Tribolium castaneum: one gene and its partner. The protein of the gene in region 2 purifies or fractionates together with the protein of the main gene of each other region. This does not show direct contact. Links are inferred from orthologs where the notes say so. Each region holds a gene or a part of one and is shown on either strand. Other genes may lie near its edges.

Evidence for each region.
Region 1: the proteins of ribosome biogenesis protein BMS1 homolog (region 2) and Rtc1 purify together in Homo sapiens (co-immunoprecipitation; 4 studies listed by BioGRID and IntAct, with this or other methods). This does not show direct contact. The link is inferred for Tribolium castaneum from reciprocal best matches to the Homo sapiens genes BMS1 and RCL1.

The regions. Positions count from the first base shown.
Region 1 is NC_087394.1:7,340,825-7,345,906, reverse strand, and holds the start of Rtc1 (probable RNA 3'-terminal phosphate cyclase-like protein), read right to left. Parts: upstream 3,221-5,082; 5' UTR 3,136-3,220; coding exon 2,841-3,135; intron 2,782-2,840; coding exon 2,596-2,781; intron 306-2,595; coding exon 1-305. Other genes in the region: delta(3,5)-Delta(2,4)-dienoyl-CoA isomerase, mitochondrial, read left to right, coding at 3,794-3,851, 3,901-4,054, 4,114-4,202, 4,260-4,504. UniProt on the Homo sapiens protein: As part of the small subunit (SSU) processome, it plays a role in 40S-ribosomal-subunit biogenesis in the early pre-rRNA processing steps at sites A0, A1 and A2 that are required for proper maturation of the 18S RNA.
Region 2 is NC_087399.1:7,282,418-7,287,522, forward strand, and holds the start of ribosome biogenesis protein BMS1 homolog, read right to left. Parts: upstream 3,016-5,105; 5' UTR 2,820-3,015; coding exon 2,756-2,819; intron 2,711-2,755; coding exon 1-2,710. Other genes in the region: garz (Golgi-specific brefeldin A-resistance guanine nucleotide exchange factor 1), read left to right, coding at 3,163-3,460, 3,506-3,733, 3,778-4,475, 4,525-5,067. UniProt on the Homo sapiens protein: GTPase required for the synthesis of 40S ribosomal subunits and for processing of pre-ribosomal RNA (pre-rRNA) at sites A0, A1, and A2.

The DNA.
Region 1 (5,082 bases), on a different chromosome or scaffold from region 2:
TTGTTCTGATGAATAAATGACACCGTTGGTGGTTTCTGCCGTTAGGTGAATGCCAAAGCCGGGGCTTTTGCCCGATTGTTTTCCTCGACATTGGTCGGTGTTGATGTAAATGTCGGGGAGGAAGTTGAGGAGGACGCCTTTAGCTTTGTCAACTATTCGGTTAGCAATGGCAGGAGAGACGCGTAATGCGAATGCTGTGCCTCTGATGCGTTTTACCATTCCACTGTCGAGGGAATGGATTGGTCTGAGGTGCTTACGGACGGGGCATTTGAAAATTACTTCACCGCCACCCAATGGAAGCAAGCCTATTTATGAGTAAAAATATTATCGGTTTATTAGCTTTCTGCGCAAAGTTAACAAAAAAATACATAAAAAACAGTCCATACAGTTATATCTTTTAACCAGAGCCTCCTTGATGAATGGAGAACCTCGTATAACTTAAAAAAATAATGTATGTATAAAACAAAACAAAAGAAATGCATAAAAAACAGTCCGTAAAGTTATATATTGTAACCAGAGCCTCCTTGATGAATGGAGAACCTCTTATAACTCGAAAAAAATAATGTATTTAAAATAATTCACGATGATAAAAAATAATAATTTAATAAAAAAAAAATTATGACTTTAATTAGTAAATACATTTCAATTTAATGCTTTAATTTATTTCCAAATTTATATTGCAATGCAAAGAAAAACAATTTTCAAAATACGAGTATAATTTTCAATTTATTGTTTAGAATTAATTCAATTCTATAGAATTCCTGTAGAATCAATTATTCCTATAAAAAGATCCTTTTGCTTTTAAAATTAAAATTCTGAAATTAAACAATAATGTAATAGAAAACTGGGAAAATTTTGACTAATTGAATATTTAATTTCATAATAATTGTCAAATAAATAGATCGTTTTAGTACAACTTTGAGAAAACAATGCTCTTATTTTTGCTTATTATATGCCACTATTTGTCAAACAGAAGATAATTTTGACCTAAATCCTTGCATTTAGTTTTTTAGGTGTAACCTAAACTGTGGTTTGATAGTAATTCATTTTTAAGTCAAATGAACCATTAATTTTTATTAGGTATTCAAGTAGCAAATTTTACAATAAATCTTTGCAAAAGTATGTATTTAATTTTTTATACACGGGTTGTTTATCCACACTAAAAATTCTAATGAACCTAATAATTCAAACTTGTAAATCCTAAATACGTAGATAGTTTGCAGCATTATGATACAAAAATCACCACTGAACAAAACTCAGTTTTTTTAAACCGCCTGTTAAGTAAAAACATAATTTCCTTGCGTTCGCAAATTATTTTTGAAAACTTTAAAATACCTAAAATATTTACTCATGAACTAATTTTTTTTGTTATTTTAATTTTAGAAAACTTAATTCAAAATAAAAAAACAGAAGGAATTTTATCATCTAAAAACTTGAAAAGTATAATAAGTAACTATTATTAAATTTGGTTAATCACATTTAGCCTTCACAAGGTGGAATTTAAAAAAAAATATGAAAGCTTAAAATGGGAGCTTTTAAACCGAGGTTTAAAAACATTTATTACTCGCATTATAAAAATTTGTTGTTATGTAAAAAAGAGAATTAATTTTTTACTACATGGTAAAACGTGGAATTCCTTGTTTATCTAATTAATAACAAAAAGTAAGCGAATTTTATAACTCTTTTTTTTTAAAAAAAGATAATGTGAATTTAGACACTGTTTTAGCATGAAAATATCTCAATTTTTCATAATTTTTTGTATAAAAGTTTGTTTTTCTTGAAATGTTTAGTTTTGCTATCAACTACACATTCATAGCGTTTGTTGAAAAATCATATATGTATAACTGAAAACTTTTCTAAAAAATCATTTTCTTATTTCGTGTGAAGAACAAAATTTGTACCGTCTGGGCAAATGCCAAACTTTTTACATATTTATACACAGAAAACTTTTGACCAAATAATTTTTTTGGAAAAATTGACTTTTAACAACTAGATATCGCATTTTTCTTAAGAAATTAATTAAAGAAAGAAGCACGTGACACTCATTTTGGCGTTGCCTTCAAAAAGAAAGATTTGAAACAAATCATTGGACGCTAAATCTTTTTTTTTAGTTTTTTGTCAACTTTTTTACCAAATATAAATAACTTAAATAACACTCATATTTTTTGCTTTTTTTGTCAAAAAAAAAAATTTAATTTTGCAGAAGTTATGTTGAGATAATTATACCTACGTAATAAATGAATAATTTTTCTTTTTTTTCACAAAATTGTTAATATAAATTAAGGAAAAAATTACATAGCAACAAATATTTTTAAATGTTATATGTATAAAACATATGGTACTGTAGGTTTAGACTCTAGCTCTCATTAAAAAAACAAAAGCGGAAAAATCGTATTGAGTTCGGAGATTATAATTATATATGGTTACAACTCCATATTCATGATAAAAAATATAACTTTATTGCCTTGTACAGTTATATCAAATGAATATGAACGAGAAAATGTATCGTCTAGAAGGCTGAGAAGAAATGTTACATAGCCTCCTAGACGATAATTTTTTTGACCACATGGTACAAATAAAAATAACTATCCCTACCTCTCTTGGAAATCTTCACATCAAGTCCCTCATCATCCAAGAAAAACTTTTTCAACGTACTTAACGCAGACGTCCTTATTAAATCAACGGAGGGATCAATATTATTATTTGTGACGCCTTGTAGAGTAGCATTTAAGGGTTGCTTACAAAATAAACCAAGCATAACCAAAGCTTCCAAGTAATAACCTACCCAACAACATTATTAATTAATAACCTAAGTTCAAAATTGAGGATAAACTTCTTACCAACCCCTCTCTGAGTTGAACACTCATGTTGTACCGTACCTCCGTACAGTAACCCAGGTTGGAAATACACCGCTGTCCCTGTTTCATTTAATTCAATAACAGAACCGTTTGTAATTTTATCCAGAAGACGAATTAAATTCACTTCAAATTCTCTTAAACCTGGCTCATCCTCCAACACTCGAATGTGGGTTATGCGGACCGGTTTACCGCTCAAAATCGATAAAACCAACCTCTGGCGAAAAAAATTGCTGCCCTTGTAACACAAAACACTTCCCTTATCAGTGGCAGTGGTCATTTTTGGAAATTGAATTCAAAATTTTTGAAGGTTATGCTGTCACACACGTGCAAGATTTTTGAACTACTAGCTACAGCTCACACAGAGGTGGTTTCACACGAATGAATTATCGAAACACATTTGGGTTCCTAAATATTTTTCTACGTGTTCTTAGTAGTCGTGAACGATTTAACAATTGCTTACTGTATTTATTTTATATCTCAAATGGGAACATTTCGCGATATCTCTTAAACAATCAGAGGCCCTAATTCGTGTGAATGGGTCTTTAGTAGTGCATAAAGTGTGCAAAATAGTTCTAATAACCACTGAGTAGTAGTACAAAGGTCACTTGGTAGTAGGTTTAATGGTTTTGCTTATTTATTTGCTGTGTTTTTAATTTTTGCAAGTTTCGTATCATAATTTGGGAAAAATCGTTATATTTTATAAGGTTTATAAGGTATGTATCGCTATATTGTATTGTACAAAGCGTGTAAACTAAAAACCTGTCTCAATTATTATTTATCATTTATAATGTTTTGTTAAACTTGAAACTGTATTTTTACACGTTTTGTTATCGTAAAGTTTGTATTCTGCACCATCATACTCCTTATCTATCTGTTTTGACTAATTATTTAACATTGTTTATGCAAAAAAACAGACTTGGGCATAATTCTTAATTATGTTGTCTTTAATTGCCAAAAGGGCCACCAATACCATCTTGCCACAATTCAATAACTGTAAGTGTATATCTGGGCACAAATATTATTGTTAAGTATTTAAATCTAGGTTCAGGAGGCACTAATTTTGTAAAAAGCATCGCCAAAATGTCTCATCAGGCTTCTTATGAAACCTTATCTGTAACAGTGCCTTCAGAATTTGTTTACCATGTGGAACTTAATCGTCCCGATCAACTAAACGCTATGAACAAAACCATGTGGTTGTAAGTATACAACTTCAATAATAATTATCATTAATTACCAAGTTTTTTTTGTAATAAAGGGACATTGGACAATGTTTTGAGAATCTAAACACTGACGAAAACTGTCGAGTGATTGTTTTATCAGGAGCAGGAAAAATATTCACAGCTGGTAACATTATTTAAACCCGATTAAGCGAAGTTTTTTTGTTTACATAAAAATACGTAGGTTTGGATTTTCAAGATATGTTGACGCTGGCGCCACAGTTAGCAGAACAAGAAGACGTGGCACGCAAATCTAAAATTCTTTACCAGTTGATTACCACCTATCAGAAATCAATCTCAGCACTAGAATTATGTAAAAAACCTATCTTAGCTGCTATCCATTTGGCTTGTGTGGGAGGTGGTGTTGATTTAATTGCCGCAGCAGACATGCGGTACTGCACTAAAGATTCGTGGTTCCAAGTTAAAGAAGTAGGTTTAAAAAAAACTTTGTATTTATGCAAAAAAAACTATATTTTTACTGTCTCTCAAAAACTAATAATCGTACAGAATTCAGCGTTTGCTTTTAAGTGCTTTATATTTTTCTCTATGCATGCGAATTTTTTCAGATTTTTTTTACAATGTACAGTTGCTGATTAGCTGATTTTTTATGACTAATGACAATCTCAAACATGTCGCTTATTTTTTTATAAAATGTTTTGTACAAAAAGTACGTAGGAAATTGTCGCAAATTCATTGCAAAGTAAATTACACCTAGTTACTAATTAAACCAATTTGAATTAAATTGGTGTTTACTTGGTAAATGTTAATTTAATCACGATATTAATACTAATATACAACGAATAAACTTCTTTAGGAACAACATTCAAGTATCTTTTATTGTTTCAGCATGTTATTAGAAGTAGTTAAAACAATATTTTTTCAGCGTCACAATTACTTAGTTTTGATTGTAGGGAATTGTATAAGAATATTGAAAAAAATCACACGCATTGAGAAAAAAATTAAGTATTTGATTATAAGTTTTTAAAATGTTTCAGTAAAAATATATT
Region 2 (5,105 bases):
AGGGTTTGAAAGCGCCGCCAGCCGAGCGAAACAATGAGGGGATCCCCCGTTTTGAGAATCTTGCTATACCAGCGATGCTTCTTTATTTTCACGTTGACGTACCCGATATTTTCCTCCCCCATGTTGAGAGCGCCGACGATCAGAGGGTAAGTCGGGTTGAAGTTCGTCACGAATTCAGCCGGAACGTCCCGAATCTCGATTCGGACGTACATCCCCGGCCGGAAACCCTCGATCTGCACTCGGACATCATCGGCCATGTTCTCAAAGACGGTTTTATTCAGCTGTGCTTGCTTTTCCGCGCTTTGTTTCAAATCATCATAATAGGAGCTCTTCTCCGTGTTGTCATATTCTTCATCGAATTTCTCCTTCAATTTGCGCTTCTTCTCGGCCAAGGCTTGCCTGTCGGCCTCTTCGTCTTTCTCCACTTCGTCGCGTTTCCGCTTCGTGTGTTTTTCACCCGTTTCCAGATCTTCAAAATCACCGAACATTTCTGAATCATCCATATCGCTTAAATCTTCGGCATCGTCTAATTTTAAAAGCTCCGAAGCGTCTTCCGAACTCTTCCATTTGCCGGTAACGAAACAATTGACAATTGTTGTTTTGTTTTCTTCGGTCAGGTAGTCTCTGACAGGGGCATTCCAGGGCTGTATTAAGGAAGATTCAGGAAGGTTCATTGTGTCCTTGTCAAGTTTGAGCTTTTGCTGGGCGCGAGAAACCTTCTTGAAGAGACCACCGATCGTTTCTTCTTCGTCTTCTTCCGGTTCAGTTTGTGTTTCTTCGTCTTCGTTTCTGTTATTCTTTTCGAAAACGCCATAAACTAGCTTCATGAGGTTCTGATTGGTGCTCTGGCGATCCAAGAAGGCACTGTGTGCTTTTTCCGCCAGATTATCTTTCCATTTTACGTCGTCGTTATCTTCAGAGTCTTCATCTAAATCTTCAGATTCTGACGCATCTTCATCATGATTTTCGTCTTCTTGTTCTTCAAATTCATCCGAAGACTCTTCAACAAGTGTAGCTTCCTTCTTCTCGTCCAGTTTCTTCAAAATATTGCTAATTTTCGAATGGACATCATCTTTGTTTTCTGTTTCATTCTTCTTTCTCACAAGCACTTCATCTTCATTTTCTTCTGTCGCAAAATCATTCAAATCCTCATCATCTGTATTTTCTTCATCCGAATCTTCATCATCAGTATTTTCTTCTTTAAAATTCGTCATTTTGCGTTCATTGTCACAATCTGTTTTCTTCATTCTCTTTTTATCCTTATTTTCTTCATTCTTAATTTTTTGTTCTGAATCATCCGAGTCCTCACCATCTGAGTCTTCAATCCTATTGGCTAATTGCTCATCTCCTGTCTCAAAAACGACCCTCCTCCTGACCCTCCCATCATCCTCCACCCTTTCTTCCTGAAACCGTTCATACGCCCCCCTCAATTTCTTCAATTCACCCTCCAAATCTTCCTCCTCCTTTTCTTCTTCTTTCTTCTCGTAAAGTTTCGTTTCCGTTTCTTGCTCCTCCTCCTCCTCCTCGTCACTACCAGCCCCAAATTCCTCCCCCGTTATCTCCTTCCCTCCCGTGAAAATCTGTATTTTCGAATGCGCCATTTTCACATCTAGCGTCTTCTGCGTATCGATCAAGTTGGTAACAATGTCAGTCTCATCCTCGTTTTTCTTACTATGACTGTGTGAGCCCCCCAACTCGACATAAACCGCGTCTTTGTCATAGACAATCCCCCCCACTCCCGAAAAAGGGGCGTAAATCAGCTTCTCCTTTTCGACCAATGCCCGCTTCTTGATTTGTTCAGGGAGTGGGCAAGGGTCGGGCAAAAACGAAACGTCGTGGATTTTAACATCACCCAACCCGGCAATGTGAATGGAGGCGTGGTTTTTAATCGCCACGCCTCTGACATACCCATAAAGCGAGATGTTACGATCGCACTTCGGGTTTTGCCGGACCAGTTCCTGATTGGTTAAATCCTCGTAGCGATCGGCTAACAAATAGCCGTGAGTGGTGCGCCACGTCAGAGGGCGGAACTTCATCACGGAGATGAAACGCCCCAAATTGCGAATTTCATTACGCAAATATTCGTCGTGTACCAGTCCGGAGAGGTAGAAAAGTTTAGCGCCGGGGTACACTTCGGTCCAGAACCGGTGTTTTAGGACTTTTTTCGTGTTTTTGAGAGTTTTCGCGTTTTTGATCATGTCTAGATGGGTCAAGATGCCCATGATTTTGGGCATTCCATGGACTTGGCAAATGTTTAAAAACTCGAACACTTCCATTTCGAAGCCGAAACTCGCGTCACACAGTAACAGCACCAAATCGGCCACTTTCGCCAGGTCGATCATGCTGTTGATATCGTTGTTGCACTCGATGAAAGTGATTCGGCGTTTTTTGCCGGTGACTATCGTAACGGGGCCCTTGATTTCGACAAGGGGCGATTTTGTAAACAACTTGATCAAGTTGTTGATTAGGGTGCTCTTGCCCACTTTCGGGGGGCCCACCACCGCGATTAAAATCGGAGGGGGCTCCAAGGGGGTGCGATCGACAAGAGGAACATGCTGTTTTTTCGTGTCTATGTCCTGTTTCCGGCGGAATTTACGCTCGGCACGCACGGCCGAATTGAAGGCAAAGGCTTTGGGATTGCGCTGCTTATCAGGCACGTCTTCCAAACGGTTCGCATTCTTTTTGCCCTTCTTCTTCTCAGCCTTGCGACCTGAACCAGTTTTACAATATTGAAACGTAACTACATTATTAATACCTGAATGCCGGTCCCGGTGCGATTTTTTCTCATTTGAGTCATCGTTCGCTTGGTTTTTTACCATTTTTTGCCAAGTAAACACCAAAATCGCAACACATGTATTTTTGAGGTTAGCTCACGTTTTGCGAGTTGACATTGGTTTAGAGCTACCAACTTGACAAAATCAATTTTTGCGTAATTAAGGCTCTTCTTCGTATTTTACGAATTAAAGGGGCCAATTTAATGATTTGTAGTGACTCGGAGTGATTTTTTGTACCAACTGATGTGTTTTTGGGCCGTTTCGTCGTGAAAAATGGTCAAGTTTTCGCAAGTGGTGTTGGTAGTGTTTCGCGAAACGTCAGGCTGACGTGTTGGTGGTGTCAGTATGTAAACAGTGAAAATCGTGAATTTTGAAAAAACGGGCAAAAATGTCGCTTCCGGGCAACGGTATTTTCGTCGTAAGGGGTGAAATGTGCACGTTAATGACGGCGATGCGCCGTGGCGCCCGCTGGTCGTCCCACTCTCACCAAGACGACGACGAACCTCTTATGAAAAACTTCCAAGAACTGAAGGAAATCCTGAACAAAATCGACGACTTGCGTCTGGTGCAACCAAGCATCTACTTGGGGCCGTTCCTGGAGGTGATCCGATCGGAGGAAACCACTGGTCCGGTCACAAGTCTCGCGTTGTCCGCCGTTAACAAATTCCTAGCGTATGGATTGATCGGTGAGTGCTCGCCAGCCCCCACTCGTCCTGATCGCCCCCTTGCAGACCCCACGCACAGCTCGGTGCCCGCCACCGTGCACAGCATCGCCGACGCGGTCACGCACGCCCGCTTCGTGGGCACCGACCAGAGCTCCGACGGGGTGGTTTTAATGCGGATTTTGCAAGTCTTGCGGACTCTTACACTGGCCCCCGAGGGGGCCACGCTCACCAACGAGAGTCTCTGCGAGATCATGCTGTCGTGCTTCAGGATTTGTTTCGAGACACGTTTGAACGGTGAGCCCCTTCAATTATTTGCCCCCATGTGACTTAAATTTTAGAATTGTTGAGACGCACCGCCGAACACTATCTCAAAGACATGGTCCAGCTTGTCTTTATGCGCCTCCCTCAGTTTTCCGATGACCTGTGTGCCGTCAAACAATTCAAGATGAGGCCGGGGGCTATTGAACAGACCCGGACGAAGCGGAAAAAGTCGTTCCGACTGTCGAAAAGTTTGGAGGAGACGCCGTCTCCCACGACCCAGCTGAAGCCCCAAAATCACAGTAACCACCTTTCGACCACCCCCATGACCCCCGCGGGGAATATCGTGGACATGCAGGGGTCAATTTCGCAAAATACCCCCGAAAATGCGGCAGAATCGCCCTCGAATTTTTCCGAAACTGGGGAAAGTAACGTGCAAATAAGTGTGGATCCGCCAAGTCCGGAGGAAAATCACGAGGAGGAAGCGACGCCTGAAGTTGAAGAGACTCAGGATTATGTCAACCAGAGGGGGATCAGGTTCACGCAACAGATGGGCGAGGAGGTTGTGTTGATTCCTTACGGCCTAGCATGTGTGCGTGAATTGTTTAGGTTTTTGATCAGCCTGTGTAACCCGTTAGATAAGCAAAACACCGATGTTATGATTCATTTGGGGCTCACGTTGCTCACTGTGGCCTTTGAAGTGGGGGCTGACAGTATCGGCAAATATTCACCGCTTCTGGCTCTAGTCAAGGATGATTTGTGTCGGAACTTATTCTCTGTAAGTCCCCCAAATAATTAGTTTGGTTCTATTTTTGAATTTTTTCCAGCTGTTGACGTCGGAACGCTTGTCGGTCTTCGCGGCCGATTTACAAGTCTGTTTTTTAATGTTCGAGGCGTTGCGGACGCACCTCAAGTACCAGCTAGAGTTCTACTTGACCAAACTAATTGATATCATTGTGACCGATTCGGGGAAAATCTCCTACGAACATAAGGAAATCGCCCTTGATAATATCCTTCAACTGTGGCGAATTCCGGGTCTTGTGACTGAGCTCTACCTAAATTATGACTGTAATATGTATTGTACAAATCTCTACGAGGATTTGACTAAACTGTTGGCGAAAAACGCATTTTCGGCCACGTCTGGCGTTTATCACACGCATATGTTATCACTGGACGCGCTATTAACGGTTATAGAGAGCATAGAACAACATTGTTTCGAGAAAAGTGAGTCGGAAGAAGGGGTTAAAGTCGAGTCAAGCACCGAAAATATCGAATCCATCACGAATTTTATTGGTAAGACGACAAGACAGAAAATCTCTGATCAAATTCCCAGCAAGGACGAACTCATGGCCCAAAAAAACATAAAAAAAGTAAGTTTAGCCGAAATAAGTTCGAGCTTAAGTAAGCT